Linked DNA regions of Kluyveromyces lactis. The protein of the gene in region 2 interacts with the protein of the main gene of each other region in a pairwise test. Links are inferred from orthologs where the notes say so. Each region holds a gene or a part of one and is shown on either strand. Other genes may lie near its edges. The genes, in order: ERG7 and ERG27.

Region 1 (3,940 bases), on a different chromosome or scaffold from region 2:
TAAATAAGGCTTGGGAATATTTTAAATCCCAAAACAACATCTAATAAATTATTTATAATCTTGCATATGTACGAAACTTCATAAGTCTTGTCACTTAATTACTTGATTTTAATTACTTTGTTTGTGAAATCCACGGTAAACTATACACACATTTAAATTGCACTGTGGCCGTATTCTTTTACATATAGACCGAGAGCTTTTATTGGGAACAAAAATCTGTAACTTGGATATTCAATGGCACATGAATGATTGAAAACACCTTCCACAGCTTCATATTTCCATTCACCTGACGGTTGTTGTCTTTGCTTTAAAAGGTTAATTGCCCTATCGATAACTGATTTGTCAGGGAATTTTGCTAATATCAACCCAATGAGCACCCATGCAGTCTGTACAACGTAAGATTCTTTGTCCGATACATATGTGTGAAGTTCACTAGATTTCATTTTCTCAGACCAACCACCATCAGGAAGCTGTTTAGTAACAAAGAAGTCACACCCTTTACGAACAACTTCGCTATTCTCATACGTTTCTCCAATCGTGTTTAGCGCTTCTAAGGCGAACATTCCAGCATACGTGTAACAAATACCCCAACAGCCGTACCAAGAACCATTAGGCTGCTGACTCTTTTTAATATATGCAATAGCTGAATCAATAGCATGATCGATATCCTTTTTCCGATAATTGAAATAGCGACGGAAGTACGTCAAGCCGAGGACCGAGGAATCTGTACATTCCACATATGGGAATTCAACCATGATATTTCCAAACACTTCTGCTGGATTCAATTTTTCCATTAGTAAGGGCGCTTTGATCTTCTCATATGTAGCGAAGGATCCGTATTCAAATGATGACAAGTTTTGCAATCCCAAAAGGACATCTATGCCGTTTTTCAACTTTTCGGTATCATATACACCCCAGACATCTCTATATTTGTCGGAATTAAGAACCATTATGATAGCTTTGATTGCCTCCGCTGTACAATCTGAAACGGTGTATCCTTGGGTTTTTGTGGAAAATGGCCAAGCACCCAACCTTTTATCTCTGAAACTCCCTTCAACACAATCCTCAGTAAATTGAGAGCGACATAAGAACTTAAACGATCTAACAATGGTTTCATGGAATTCGGGCAATTCAGCCAAACCTGCCATAAACATATACTGAATGTAAAATGCACAATCCCAAACTTGGACACCGTTGGTCCCCATAACGGTTAGGCCCTGAGGTCCATGGAATAACACGTCCTTGAATCTATAAAGGAATCTACCAAATTCTTCCGAATCCTTCCCTTCTTCAATCAATGTCACAATTGCACAAAAGGCATTATTAACTGGTGCAATACATAGATAATCCGTATTTGCAATTTCTTTCTTGACAAGTTCATATACTCTATTAGTGGATTTTTTCAACAACCAATTTGGTCTAACGTATCTTTCGTACTTAGATATGAAGTAATTCATAGTGTCTAAAACTTTTGTGTGTGGATAGTATAGATCAACACCGCACACGGTATTTCTGTGTTTCTTGAAATCAATTGTCTCGAACGGTTGGGTGTAAATCTCCGTTCTAATTTCTTCCAACAAGGGATCAAGTTCACAGCTATATTGGGTACTTGACAAATAACTCACCGGAAGATAAATACCTCTTGTATGAACCCACCATCTTGCTGGATGAATATTTAATCCGTATGGCAACATCCATAATTCTGGTGGGGCTGGGTTGACACCCTCCCATTTATACAAATTTAAGATTGACAACCATATCTTGGCCCAATGAGGAGACGCAATGGCACCTCCTAACCTGAGTAAAGTGTCCCTTGCTCTAACACAAACTTCGTGATCCTTGGGTAAACCTAACAATCTCATCATGACATAATTTAGTACAGTACCCAAAACAGTTGACTTATCGACATGATGCAAACCCCATCCCCCATCGACTGGGTGTGCATAGTTGGCAACGTACCTAATCATTTCAGCTTTCTCATGCTCAGGTATTTCAATCTTGGCAATATACATCGTCACAACATACCCAATTGTCATGAACATTGGACCCTTATACTGGCATGGGAATGTTCCAGAATCAGGGTCCTGCAAAAGTTCAAAGAATTTTGCACCGTTATGTGCAGCGTTCCAAGCAGTAAAACCTGATGTCTTGCTATTAATCTCTGGGTGCGGTTCTGGAAAATCTTCACATTTCAATAGCCATCGTGCAAAAGTTGATTGCGGAACTTTCTTGCTATCATTCTCACTTAAATATTCCCATGTTTGTCTTCCCAAGTCATCTGTGATGAGCCTCCAACGTTTTGGATCCGTCCTGGGCAATCCAATAGTTTCAGAATAAAGTTCTGGCATTAACACAAAACCGTACAGCTATACAGCACCTCCAGTGATTAGCCAAGAACACTATCTATGTTCTCGAATCCGAACGGCTAAACGTGTCTTTCCTAATCTGTTGATAATCGTTATATATAAATCTATAAAAGATGTTTAACTTTCCTGTTAGGAACTTTAAACGACAAGACCTGAGAAGAAGAACGAGGCGTTGCACTACTCGAAAGGAATAGAGAAATAGGATTGTGGAACTCAAGGATTGAAGGCGTTAACAAAGACAAAGTCCAATGCGGCCTGATAGAATAGTGTTGGCCAAGTTCCCTGTCCCTGGTGATTGGTGGTTGCACATATATCCAGCTCTTGTGATTTTCGGGTATTTTATATCGGTTCTTATAGGTGAAGATGAGCTCGAAAGAGAAAGAAAGGAATGGTACTGGATCGGTGGACGCAACGTAGTGAATCATTTATTTGCTTACAAAGGTATCTACATATTCGACGTATTGTTCGGTTTATTGATAGGCCTACAAGTATACGTTCGAATGAAGCACGAGGAATCGTTGTTACCCACTAGTAATGGAGAACAGGACCGTAATTCTCCCGATCTTCTGAAACAAGTTGGGAAAGTTCTAAAAGTATATTCGATAAAGTTTGTTTTGGTATACCTGGTATTATGGGCCTGTTTCTTGTTCATCGACCATCTTTTCGTGTGGACGGGAGGAAACTGCGATCTTTCTGATACGAAATCTGCAGAGAAATGTAGATCTTTAGGTGGGAGCTGGGTAGGCGGATTTGATATCAGTGGTCATTTTTGTTTCTTAACAAACATAAGTCTAACTCTATGGCAGGAGTTGAAACTCTTGCTGCAATATGCGAACCAACATACGATATCCTGGAATTCACCGTCTTCTAAATATCAATGGATTGTTTTACTGGTTTTGTGCATTTGGATAAATGTGCTAACGATAACATCAATATACTATCACACATTCCCGGAGAAAGTGTTGGGATGTGCCTTTGGGTATTCCTGTCTATTGGTAATTTATTATATCCTGCCTAGAATCAAACATGTGAACAAGTTCCTTACATTATAATCGACTGGAACCTATTAGTTATGCCGTAAATAGATCCCAATAAAGAAATATTCTTCTCTCCATTGAAAGTACAGTCTATAATCTCGTCATCACCATCGTCAACCTTTATCTTTATTATATCTGCACCAAGCCTGAAAGAAACGTTCAGCCCCATGTTATCGATGTGAAGCAATGAATATTGCTTATCATTCACATAGTTTCCCTCAAGCTTACGGAAAAATTGAACTCTAGAGTGAACCTTTAAAAGGTCTTTATAACACAGGTTCGCGAACTTCATGATATTAGAGTCACTAGTATCGGTATCTTTTGTGATTAGTTGCCAATGCTGGTGGATATTAATGTATTTTGGTAAATTATGCTTGAACAATTCCCAAATTCCGAGGCGCTTTACGGATGGTTTCAAAATGACATAGAAAGGTGGGTCATATTTGAGAGACAATTCGTCAAATAATTCTAATCTGATACCCATAAACTCGATGTTGTCATAATTCACTGGGAATAAAGAGACTCCTATGAGCCGTA
Region 2 (2,841 bases):
TCGAAGACTTAAAGGATGGATTAGTACTTCTACAGGCATATGATAAGGTTATTCCTGGATCTGTAAACTGGAAGGTAATCAACAAGAAATCATCTGACTCTGAACTTTCACGCTTCAAGGCTTTGGAAAATACTAACTATGCTGTTGATTTAGGTAAATCTAGAGGATTCTCTTTGGTTGGTATTGATGGCTCTGATATTGTCGACGGTAATAAACTACTAACGCTAGGTTTGGTGTGGCAGTTAATGCGTAAGAATATTGTCAATACAATGAATGAATTGGCCACGACTGGTAGAGATATGTCTGATTCCCAAATCTTAAAGTGGGCTCAAGAAACAGTTTCCAAGGGTGGAAAATCATCCACCATAAGATCTTTCAGCGATCCTTCGTTGTCCAACGCTCACTTCTTATTGGATGTCCTAAATGGTTTGGCCCCAGGTTATGTGGACTACTCATTAGTGTTACCTGGTAAAACTGAAGAGGACAGATATGCAAACGCCAGATTGGCTATTTCTATTGCTAGAAAGTTAGGAGCTCTAATCTGGTTGGTTCCAGAAGACATCAACGAAGTCCGTTCGAGATTGATATTGACATTCGTTGCTTCTTTGATGGCATTAAAGAGATAATACAGCGATATTTCAAGATTTACTGTACTTCAGCTCTAAAGTCTGTATATGTATTTTCGAATCCTTAAGTCCTCACTTTCAAATAGTATGTGACTACTTTCAAATGATCCTTCATCTAATATGTAACTTATAAGCAACTCGCACGCAACATTACGATAAACAATAATTCTACACGATTTATTTGAATTATGTAAAATTTATAATGGTATCCTTGTAGGCTTAATCTGGTCTTTTAACTTTTCATCCCATTGCAGTTTCAAATTGGAGATGTATTTATACACATCTTCACAGCCGGTTGTATCAACTTCATCAGTTTTAATATATTCTAAACCGTCTCTAAAAGTTGCCGATCCGTATTTCATTTGCTCCTTCTCAAAGTGCGGATTAGCCATTGTTGCTACATATACAGGAGCATTGGCTGCTTTGTATCCTTGTATGTTGTGCCAAGGTGAACCAATCCATCTGGCCAGATAGAATAAGAAGAGCATACCATAGTAGGTGAAAACATTCAAATATTGGAAAAATGAGAGACTGGTAAAAATACCAGGATGGGTGAGATATTGGCGGATTCCGAGCTTTTTCATCTCTTTATATGTTGCAGAATGTAACAAATCAACTAATCTTTTTGAACCTTCATAAGAAACATCGGATTCCAATAGCTGAATATCTTGTAAAGACAAATATTTAGGAGCGGACATGATACTAGAGACCCAAACGACAGTACCTTGTCCAGCCTGGAGTAACGGAAGCAGTTTTTGAATTAGATAATATGGTCCAAACACGTTTGCCTGGAACACAAGCCCCATCCCGTCCTTTGATTTGACTCCCACTCGTTGAATTTTATATGTTGGGTTTGTGACGGCCTCCAGTGGACTGGAGAAGACCTCTTTCACTGCACCCAACCAGTCAATCCCTGAGTAAACTCCTTGAGCTGCATTCACAAAGAAGTAATTGATGTGATCGTATCTTTTTGACAAGCTGTAGTGGGCATCAAGAATGCTGATCATGTTGGTAAAATCAACCAGCAGGTAATCATAATCTACAGAGCCAGTCCTATTAATGGTATTGACAAAAGCCTTAATTAAATCAATGCATTCACGAACCCTAGGTAATGTTCTTGATGTCACAACTATCGTGAGGTTGTCCTCTGGCTCGCTTCTCTCAATCAACCGATATACGATATTCAAACCTAAATTACTGTTTGTACCAGTGACCACTGCTACCTTTGACGAAGACATGCTGGTTTTGAAATTATTGGTACTCAATAGCTACTAGTATACGTAAATCAGTGCTAATGGACGGGAACGGTTCCTGTAGCCTGGAATTTTTCGCTTGTGTCGCATCATCATCACCATCTATTTGGTTTTCTAGTTCTTTCAGAATTCCGGAAGGTTTATCATCTCGTTTAAATATCATTAAAACCCAGGAAAGAAGGTGTATCAACGACTGATGGTTAAAAGAAGATGAACGATAAGACACTGCTACATAAGATGCATTTTATATAAGTGGTTCGCTGACATCGAAGTTCTTTATACAGTCGCAACTACACCCAGAGGGGCACTCATCGCCAATTTTCCACCATTTTTCTGCGCAAGTCCTGTGAGTCACGTGCTGACAATTACCGCATACGAACACCAATCTACCGGCTTTGAGGCCACAGTAGCTACAGTTTTGTTGAGTGTGTCCGTGGTTAGATTCAATCCACCTATTCGATACACCTTTGTAAATATCCAATCCCGAATCTTGTTCGATCCCATGCAAGTATTCAGGTTCTGTGTTTAAATTTACATTAAACTTCAACAACTCGGCCCTATCCATAGGCAACCCCCATATATAAAGTATCTCTGCATATTGCGTTCTATATTGTCTGAACTTGGTTTCACATTTCGGATCTACCAACGAAGGTTCCAGACCTTGGTAGGCAAGATCCAAAACATCGTCATGAATTAGTTTGATCTTGATATCGGGAATTGTCGCTTCAGTTTCTACATACCCATTGTTCATATTATTATGGGATTTCCCGTTCTTGTTTCCGTTAGCATGATGATTTTGATGGAAATAATCATCAGATATGATAGAAGAGCCATCGTTCAATGAGGCTTGATTGGTGCCATATCTCATTCTCGCATTTTGTGTACCTGTGTCATTAGAGTAGAACGATCCGTGAGTGGAATGAACATGTGGCGATGGCTCGTATTCATTGTTATAAAATGTA

What was found.
Region 1: the proteins of ERG27 (region 2) and ERG7 interact in binary tests that used the Saccharomyces cerevisiae proteins (3 or more experiments, as listed by UniProt). The link is inferred for Kluyveromyces lactis from reciprocal best matches to the Saccharomyces cerevisiae genes ERG27 and ERG7.

What each region holds. Positions count from the first base shown.
Region 1 is NC_006038.1:887,946-891,885, reverse strand, and holds ERG7 (lanosterol synthase ERG7), read right to left. Parts: upstream 2,349-3,940; coding exon 153-2,348; downstream 1-152. Other genes in the region: auxilin-like protein SWA2, read left to right, coding at 1-44; YFT2 (Yft2p), read left to right, coding at 2,615-3,418; MCM21 (Mcm21p), read right to left, coding at 3,408-3,940. UniProt on the Saccharomyces cerevisiae protein: Lanosterol synthase; part of the third module of ergosterol biosynthesis pathway that includes the late steps of the pathway. ERG7 catalyzes the cyclization of (S)-2,3 oxidosqualene to lanosterol, a reaction that forms the sterol core.
Region 2 is NC_006042.1:1,829,512-1,832,352, reverse strand, and holds ERG27 (3-keto-steroid reductase), read right to left. Parts: upstream 1,865-2,841; coding exon 824-1,864; downstream 1-823. Other genes in the region: SAC6 (fimbrin), read left to right, coding at 1-626; MTC5 (Mtc5p), read right to left, coding at 2,124-2,841. UniProt on the Saccharomyces cerevisiae protein: 3-keto-steroid reductase; part of the third module of ergosterol biosynthesis pathway that includes the late steps of the pathway. ERG27 is a catalytic component of the C-4 demethylation complex that catalyze the reduction of the keto group on the C-3.